Linked DNA regions of Tribolium castaneum. The protein of the gene in region 1 purifies or fractionates together with the protein of each later gene. This does not show direct contact. Links are inferred from orthologs where the notes say so. Each region holds a gene or a part of one and is shown in the gene's direction. Other genes may lie near its edges.

Region 1 (3,084 bases):
GAATACTCCGGCAGGACCATCAAAAATTGCGAATATAGTGTTTCAGGTGTTAGAAAATTTTGAGCCTTTGCCTGTATTTGTATGGTTTGGTTGTTCAACCCGTCTATTAAACACGAAACTGCGTCCTCTCCAGTGATTTTGCACGCTTCAATCAGGTACATTTTGCTGAAGTAGTAGGTGGTCATGCTCTCATCAGCTTGCTTCAACCGTGTTACTAATCTCTTCAAAGTGGTTACAAAATCGGTATTGTCCGGGAAAACCTTACAAATCAAAAGTTTCCACTCAGGCCAAGTGTAGTCATAGTTGGGCAAGCTGTTGTACCACGCTTTCACAGTCCCGGACATTTGAGACACCATATACTGGATGGTTGTCTTCTCATCCCAGTTGTTCTGGAACGACATCTCCTGGATTTTGTTGATCCACATGGACGTGGTGAACGTGTGTCGTCGCGGCTCCAGATAAAACTGCTTGTCGAGTCTATCACTGGGTCCCTTCTTCTCAACAACACTGGGCGGTTCCACGTAAAACGGCTTCTCGGCCCCTTTCTCGAGGACACTTGGTGTGGGAGCTGGGACAGTACTACGTTTCATGAACTCCTCCAACATGGTCTCCAGACGCTCCAAACGCTCCACCGTGGAGTCGGATGTCTTGGTGTCCCGGGGCTGCGATTTGGGCTCCTTCGGGTGGTAGGGCTCGCTGTTTTTCTCATTTTTGCTCGACTTGTCCTTCGAATAAAAGCTTGACTTCTTGTCTCTATTCGTGTGGTGCAGGTACGACTCTTCGTCTGAGTTTATGGAACTCAAGGAGTCGTCTTGGTATTCGATGGCTCTGGCCTGGTCCCGGGTTCGATCCCGCGGTTGGTCGTTGAAGCGGTCGTAATCATAGGGCTGGAGATTGTGGTGGTGATGCCTCCGACTCATTTTCCAACGCAATTGTTCGTGTTATTACATAAAAAAGGATTTTGCCACTCACAAATACACATCAAATTGACATTTGGGCAACTGAGAATTAAATTCCAAAACTGCCAACCGCAAACGAAAATTTACCAAAAAAATCAATTTTTATTTTGAGGCGTTATTGCACAAATACGTCGAAGAAACTGAAGGGAATTAACAAGACCGAGCATGTGGGTTTATCGTCAATAATTTTCGTTATCAGTAAACTCTTTTTTTCTTCAGTAGAATGATAAATCTTATCAAGCAGTGAGACCAATATCAAAGTGGAATGTCCCCACGTCAGAAATTTGATAATGGGGGCTGTTTGACATAAATAATTAATTATTCACGCGTTTGTAGTTTTAGTAAAAATTGGTGCAGTTAATTGTTGTATTTGTTACATGTTTATATATTTGAGATAGGTGTGTAACAATCACGTGGTTTGCGCGGTCACATCATTTGTGGTGCTTTAATTATATTTTATTTACGTGTGATGTGATCTGATCACGACAATTCACAACAATGGCTCTTTTAAATTTAGGGGAGGATCCCTGGTATGGTCAAAGTAAATACGTAAATTTATTTAAAAAATTCTTTCTTAGGTTGGTTGAATATGAATCCTGTGAGAAATTGTACAGAGATATCATGGAACAGCTAATGCAGCGTCAGAAGCTTCCCAGAACCAGTGATAAGTATTCCCATCTGTCTGCAACAATTCGTTTGAGACTAAAACAATACAATAACGAAGTTGGACAATTAAAGCAAAAATTAGACATAACAACCAGAAGGGATTCAATGTAACTCCTAGTTTTAATTTTGCCGAGACTTTATTTCATAATTTATAGCACTGCGGCTGAGTCTGAACGAAGGACAAGACAGTTAGAAATCTTACACTCAAATGCGATAAAAATGCAAAATTTGTTCGAAAACCAAGCGTCAAGTAAAGCGCAAGAGGATAGAAGGAGGCTCATGGGAGAGGCAGGGGCTTCTGCTTGGGGGGATAGTCACAGTAGCGATGAATTATCCAACTATTCAGTTGAACAGTTAAAGGCAGATCAAAAAAGGATGCTGGGAGGTATTCTTATTAAAAATCATTGAGGAGTGTTTTAAAATTTAATTTCAGAACAAGAACAAGGACTCGATAATTTGGCCCAAATAATATCGCGACAGAAAAATATCGCTCACACGATTTCAAACGAAGTAGACTTACACAATGGTATGATTACGGACTATCTTCAGTTACTTTAAAAAGAACATACGATTTTTATTTTTTCAGAAATATTGGATGACTTGGGGACCCAAATCGATCGAACCGACACCAGAGTTAGAACTGAAACGCAGCACATTTCAGTGGTCGAAACCAAAGATAAAACTTGCGTTTATTGGGTTGTTATTATTTTATTATTTATAAGTATAATCGTGGTTGCAGCAATTTGACGCTTGAACACAATTTTTTTACAATGTGATTTATATTTTATTAAACAAATAAACAAATACATATTCTAACATGTATAAGTTTAGTTTAAAACAGAATTTATACAACATAAATTAAGCCGACTTAAGTTTACTTTAGTTCATCTAAAAATGGTACGGTGCGCAGTTGGCCAACGGAGGCTATTGATAGTTTACCTGAAGCAACTTTCTTGAGAGCCTGAAAAAAACACGTTAACAAAAACTAGACTCGCTTTTATAAACTTACAGCATTGACATCTGCTGTTGTGATTGAATCAATCTCTGCCACCACCTGACTTGGCGATTTCGCCGACCCCAAAACAGCCGCCTGACTTCCGAGAAAATCAATAGCGCTTGAACCAGACTCATTTTTAATAAGAAGCGCCGCTTTCAATTGATTCTTCCCTCTGTTAACATCCGCATCGGTCAAATTCCCAGCTTTTAGCAATTTGAATGCTGCTTGCACAATTTTCCCGGCTGTGGCTTCCGGTGCTGCAATCAAGACACCAAAAATCCCGGCATCACTGTAGCTGGCATTGAACGTATTGAGGGCGTATTTGGCATCGCCTTCGCCTCCAACAACTTTACTCAAGGCCCCATTGTCTACAGACCCCCACTTGACTTTGGGGCCTCCGCCTAGGGCTTTCTGAAGGACTGAAACAGCAAGCGCTTCTTTGGAATTCTTCCATGGGGCGCC
Region 2 (2,884 bases), on another chromosome or scaffold:
GCACAAACGGGAACGCTCCTGCGAACGCGCAGGAAGGATACCCCTGAGTTTATCCTTGCACTGTCCGCACCTCGGGATCTTCTTGGGCTTCTTTAGGTATTGGTATACCAGTCTACCGCCAGGGGTGCGAACACTGAAATATAAAAGAATGATAAGTGATGTAATTTACAAAAAAAATCCTTATATAATTTAGTCAGTCAGAGATTGAACGAAAGAGTTTGTCGTCACTTAACTTCAGGACTCTAGCCAAAAGTCATCATAGTGTATGATGTCAACTTTTTTGCAGGTGTATTTTAAATAAACGATTAACAACTAAAATTGCCTCATTTTTTCCAATTTTCTGTTATATCATATAAAAGGTCCTTCAACTATTTTAGACTCGCAAAACATTTAATTAAAATTAATTTCGATGACAGATCACAGAATAATTTAAAAATAAACACAGTTTTTGGCAGACGTGAAAATTTATTACGACACTAACAAATTCACGTATTTTTTATTTTATGAATGACTTTATTTTGCAACTCTTCAAACGTACAATTAATTAGCATACACTTATAACAACAAAAAAATATAATTTCTAAAAACCAATACAAAATTTCAATTTCAGTCATTATGAAATTTTTATCAAATGAAAACGTATTTAATTATTGCTGCAACAATTAACAATTCTGTAACTTTTTTCAAGAACTATTAAAATTTAACATACGTTGAAATCGCAAATCTACCAGCTTTTTTGAACAGTTTGATAACAAAATAGGGTAAGAAATAATGGAAAGAACCCTATCATACAAACACAAATTAGTTATTCGTTTTTTGTTAAATGAATTAACTGATCTTTTCTTAAATGAAAATACTAATGAAAAGACAACATCATTTGTCTCACAGTCAGAATACAAAGGGTAGAAGGGGACAACAGAGGTTGACATGACCTAACCTCAAGTGTACTTTTGTGCACCCGTAAAGTGTATTTTTCATATTACCACCTTACATTATACTTTTTTATCAGTCTATTAATTACTGCACTTACATGTGTCGCCTGTTTGATTTCGTATTGTACGACAATCGTCGTCTAAACACCAACCGCTGCACCATGTTGGCCTGCAACTAAACACCCAATTTTAGCAAAAACTACCACTGGAAAACATAAATATGAACTAAACCGAACCACAATTAACAAATTTAAGTAAAAAATAACAATTATTTAGGCCGATGATGGCAGATTTTTAATTTCTGAAAACACTTCAACTAACCTGTCAAATGTCACCAGCAAAGAGGAGATTTTGCGCAGTCTTGCCAACCCACAAAACCACTAGTCAGCCGTCGCCATCTACGAAAAAAATGTCTAAGTCAAATTTCTCTTGATACAAACTGCGAAATCAGAAATGGTTTCACTTTTTGAGAACTATGAACAGCAATATTCAGTGCTCACGGCCGATATCACGGCCCAAATCGGCCTTCTGGGTGCCTCGGCCACAAGTAAGCCTCCCTTGATTCACCTGTCAAAAGCCTTCATTTGTTTTTCAGAGGACCGCCGCCAACTTATTTCCAACATCGAGAAACATGTCGAGGAGGCGCAAGAACTGGCAAGTCTTTAATATCCCTCTGTCTAGCCTTAATTTATTCATTCGTAGTTGGAACAAATGGAATTGGAGGTTAGGGAGGTCGAATCGGCCAAAAGACAAAGGTGCAGGACCAAGCTAGATTGCTACCGTGCTGAGCTCAAGCGGCTGACTTTGGAATACATCAAGGCGCGGTCGATAAAACAGGGCGCGTTGAGCTACGATAGCGCGGAAGAATTGAACGATGTGCGGATTTCGTCCGATCAGAAGCAGAGGCTTTTGGACAACTCGGAGCGGATGGAGCGGACGGGGCGGCAGCTGGAGGAGGGGTACAGAGTGGTGCTGGAAACGCAGGACATTGGGACGCAGGTTTTGCAGAATTTGAACGAGCAAAGGGAGACTATCAAAAGGACGCGATCAAGAGTAGTTTCTTCAATATTTATGAATTAAGAATTATGTTTTTTGTTTTAGTTGAGGGAGACTGACGAGGAGTTGGGGCGGTCTTCGCGCCTCATGAGCTCAATGATAATGAGGTCCATTCAGCAGAAAATAATCTTGTTCATTGTTGGTGCCTGTTTCATAATAGCCCTCTGTCTGGGTCTTTATCTGGGCTTGAACAAGTAATTTTGCGTTCTCTTTTTAGGAACTGTACATATGTATCAAAAAAGTATTCTATTGTGTCATATTTCGTATTTTTTGTTATTTAGTTATACATTCCTGTTATTTGTGATGTTCTTCGCACTGAGTTGTTAGCGGTAGTGAGATAATACTTAACTTATTTTAATAATATAAAAGTACAAATTCTATACAACGTGTCTTATTTCTTACCTTTTTAACTCCCAAATGTTAAAAAAAATATCTAACATGAGTTGAGGTTTTATTTCTTTTGTTACATTAATTTGTGAAAGCACGTCCTGTTGCCATTGAATAATTTTGGCGAAATATCCGCATACATAATGAATTTGCGGGTAGACATAAACAAAAACAAATGCAAATTGTTAAATTTTATCTTGATTGTTATCGACATTGCCCTGATTTTGGGTATTTTATCAGCTTCGTATCTTTTGTTTATTAAATCTTTATATTCAAGGAAATAGGGATGTTGGTCACTAAACTAGAAAAAGTGTTAAAATTTATTCCTGTTGGATTTTAAATGTGGGCGCCACGCGTTGCGGCTCTTCGTCCGCTAGATGCCGCGGCATTTCGTGCAAAACATCAAGTCGCCATCAAGTAATCCTGTGTGGTGGATTGTGTTATTTGTGTAAGGATTTGTGTCCTTTTGAATGCATTTGTGGGTGTAAAATGGCCGATTCTTACGAATC
Region 3 (3,129 bases), on another chromosome or scaffold:
ATGGAGTTACTTATCTTAACAAACTTGCCGAACTTTTCCTCTCCTTGGACTTTTTTCGAAATTGTTGCTTCCGTCGCCACAAACTGTCTCTTATTATAGAACGCACACTTAGTCATATTTGCGTAATCACTTTTCAGCGACAAAAATTTCATGGTTGTTAAGGTGTGCCAAAGTGTGTTTTCAAATTTCTTGAAACGGTCTTCATTGACTTGTATCACTTTTTTGGATTCTTCAATCTCAATCTGTGTTTTCTTCCAGATGGTTTCCAATTTTCGGTTTTCGTTCAAAACTGGCTCGGATCTCGCCCGTTTTAGTAACTTGGCGGAGTTTGTTTTCACTTCCAGGTCAATAATACGGCCCCTTAAACGCTCATTCTGTTTATTTTGTACGCTTGGTTTTGCAATTTTCTCAGCTAGTTGTTTCTTCATTCTTCTGATGTCGTTGTTCTTGTGCGACATGTCCAAAGCAGCTTCGATTCCCTCAGGTTTCGGCACTTTTAAGTTAATTTCAGCGCTGGTTTTGCTTTCGCCGTGCCTGAATCTACAACGCGTGATCTCTTCTTCGATTATTTTATTGATGAGGCTTGTGAATTGTTGCGAAGTGGCTGCGTTTGACAAAATATCAGTGCATGCGACAAGTTTCCTCTTGATTTTGTCCAGTTTTTCGCTGTTTGAGTTGATGAGGGCATCCTTCTCGAGGATGTTCACCAGTTTGATGATATTCTTGAAGAGAAACTCTTGCGATTTGAGGATTGCGTGCAAGTTGTCAATGATGTGTTCCTGACTTTTCACTTTAAACTCGTTAATTTTGGTGTGTTCACGGCGCAACCATTCAGGGACTGTGTTCAAATTTTGGTTTTTCGGCAACTCTTCCAATTTTTTATCAACGGTTTGCGGCACCAAAGCAACAGTATGTGTATGTTTCTCATTTTCTTGCTTTACCCGGTTTATGTGTTCGTACAAGTAGCGGAGATCGTTCGTCACAACGTCTCCCTCACAGGTGTATTTGCTCGAGTTGTTGATAAACTCCAACATGTTTTCAAACGGGATTATTTGGGTCGCGTTGCTGTATTCGGTCGAAATTTTTCGCTTGAAGTGCATACATTTTTTGATATATTCGTGGAGTGTCTCGGCCGCTGCTGTGGTTAAAACCTTCCCACGCAGTAACAATAAATTTAACAGGAATTCCATAATTTGCGCCATGAAATTGAAATGATTGGAATTATTTGCTCGGCCACATTTTTTGAATTCTTTGACAACGCGCCACTCGATTTTCAAAAACCACAACATCTAACAACGCTTGTAACACGTTTTATTTGATTCAAATAAATCTCACTCAAACTAAACCAAGGTGTTACTTTCGGTATCGTGGCCGAATTTTACTATGAAATTATTTTTTTGGAGAAATTTTGAAAATGCACGGACGCCACTGGTGTGGTATTTAGAACATCGACTGAGTCATCGCTGACGCATGCGCACTTTGAAACCAAACGTCAGTGTGACACATGACGTTTTTGTTATTGTTCTCAATTTTTTATAATAATACCAATTAATTCAAAGATATTTGTGTTCGTTGTGCGCGTTTTTATCATTGTTACGTGTGTGGCATTTTTGGCGTTTATGTGAAGGTGTCAACGTAAATCGGAAAAAATAAAACGTAATTACGTCCCAACTGTTTAGGATCAATTAACATTGTTTATTCATTATAGATGCCAATTCTTTATAGTGTAATATCTCGGGGAAGCACCGTTCTAGTTCGATATGCCTCTTGCGCCGGGAATTTCGCTGAAGTTACTGAACAGATCATCGGAAAAATACCACCACATGATGATAAGTTGACGTACTCGCACGGGAACTATTTGTTCCACTATGTTTGTGAAAACCAAGTTATTTACATGTGTATTACTGACGATGTAACGTGGAATGTCGCGTAAATACTTGGTTGTATTGTCATCATTGTTTCAGGAGTTTGAGAGGTCACGGGCGTTTTTATTTCTCAATGAAATTAAAAGGCGTTTCAGGTCCCAATATGGGGACTCTATCCAGACTGCGATTGCATATGCGATGAATTCTGAATTTTCCAGGGTTCTAGCCAACGAAATGAAACATTATTCCGAATCCCATGATGTGGATACAATTTCAAGAGTTCATGGAGAGTTGGATGAACTTAAAAATATTATGGTCAAGAATATAGGTGAGTGTGAATAAATATTTTGTATGTGATATTTATTACTGCGTTCATTGATAAGATAATGTGGCGATGAGGGGAGAAAGGCTGGAACTGTTAGTAAATAAAGCTGAAAATTTGAATAGTGGGGTGAGTATTTAATAAAAAGTTGTTTTTTTTTCTGAAACTTTTTTTCAGTCTGTGACGTTCAGGAAGACAAGTCGCAATCTGGCACGTTCCATGTTTTGGAAAAACGTTAAGCTTTATGTTATCATTGGTGTGATTATTACTGTGATTGTTTATTTTATTGTTTGCATGGCTTGCGGAGGGCTTCTCTGGCAGGGCTGTATTGCTAAGAAATAAAAATTTTAAGATATTTTACTTTATTCATTACTTAAACACTGTACCGTTTTATCTTTATGTAAATAAGATTCCGCAAAATTAGTGATAAAAACATTCTTTTATAATTATGTAGTTTATCTTCGTTAATTTATAATTTTGTAATTGTTAAGGTATCGTTACTTGAATAAAGCAGACAAAATATACTCTTGTTTTATTTTCCCTCTAGTCTTTTATCTAATCACGTATTAAAAAGTCTCAAAAAATTCAAGAATTAAACACAAAAAAATCAAGAATAATTGTTTTAGTTGGTAACAAATTTAAAGAATTTTCTTATTCAGCAACTGGATACGGAGAAGCTATCATTAGTCGAACCACTTAAAAAAAAGATTTAGATTTGCCAACTCGAGCATTCTTTTTGTAGATATGTCTCATATTAGGTCTTACTAAAAAAAAAATTTAGAGATTCTGCAAAAAAAGAAAAGGATTCTGTGTTAAAGAAAATCCCAACGACAAATTTAAAGCCAAAAAAAACAATAATTCAAAGAGAAAATTATTTTTTAAAACTGACAGCTGTTGCTAATAAGATCTGAAACGGACCATACTCGTAAATTGGCATGTGAT

Evidence for each region.
Region 2: the proteins of Syx8 (region 1) and Vti1a purify together in Homo sapiens (affinity purification with mass spectrometry; 3 studies listed by BioGRID and IntAct, with this or other methods). This does not show direct contact. The link is inferred for Tribolium castaneum from reciprocal best matches to the Homo sapiens genes STX8 and VTI1A.
Region 3: the proteins of Syx8 (region 1) and Vamp7 purify together in Homo sapiens (affinity purification with western blotting; 3 studies listed by BioGRID and IntAct, with this or other methods). This does not show direct contact. The link is inferred for Tribolium castaneum from reciprocal best matches to the Homo sapiens genes STX8 and VAMP7.

The regions. Positions count from the first base shown.
Region 1 is NC_087394.1:35,393,398-35,396,481, forward strand, and holds Syx8 (syntaxin-8), read left to right. Parts: upstream 1-1,177; 5' UTR 1,178-1,457; coding exon 1,458-1,489; intron 1,490-1,537; coding exon 1,538-1,732; intron 1,733-1,780; coding exon 1,781-2,010; intron 2,011-2,058; coding exon 2,059-2,151; intron 2,152-2,211; coding exon 2,212-2,372; 3' UTR 2,373-2,441; downstream 2,442-3,084. Other genes in the region: uncharacterized protein LOC103312255, read right to left, coding at 1-920; cytochrome b-c1 complex subunit 2, mitochondrial, read right to left, coding at 2,500-2,586, 2,635-3,084. UniProt on the Homo sapiens protein: Vesicle trafficking protein that functions in the early secretory pathway, possibly by mediating retrograde transport from cis-Golgi membranes to the ER.
Region 2 is NC_087399.1:4,595,937-4,598,820, reverse strand, and holds Vti1a (vesicle transport through interaction with t-SNAREs homolog 1A), read left to right. Parts: upstream 1-1,385; coding exon 1,386-1,586; intron 1,587-1,634; coding exon 1,635-1,985; intron 1,986-2,033; coding exon 2,034-2,186; 3' UTR 2,187-2,373; downstream 2,374-2,884. Other genes in the region: large ribosomal subunit protein eL34, read right to left, coding at 1-133, 1,031-1,095; tkv (bone morphogenetic protein receptor type-1B), read left to right, coding at 2,865-2,884. UniProt on the Homo sapiens protein: V-SNARE that mediates vesicle transport pathways through interactions with t-SNAREs on the target membrane. These interactions are proposed to mediate aspects of the specificity of vesicle trafficking and to promote fusion of the lipid bilayers.
Region 3 is NC_087402.1:8,581,279-8,584,407, forward strand, and holds Vamp7 (vesicle-associated membrane protein 7), read left to right. Parts: upstream 1-1,464; 5' UTR 1,465-1,656; intron 1,657-1,708; coding exon 1,709-1,912; intron 1,913-1,964; coding exon 1,965-2,193; intron 2,194-2,248; coding exon 2,249-2,316; intron 2,317-2,364; coding exon 2,365-2,529; 3' UTR 2,530-2,542; downstream 2,543-3,129. Other genes in the region: uncharacterized protein LOC103312779, read right to left, coding at 1-1,190. UniProt on the Homo sapiens protein: Involved in the targeting and/or fusion of transport vesicles to their target membrane during transport of proteins from the early endosome to the lysosome. Required for heterotypic fusion of late endosomes with lysosomes and homotypic lysosomal fusion.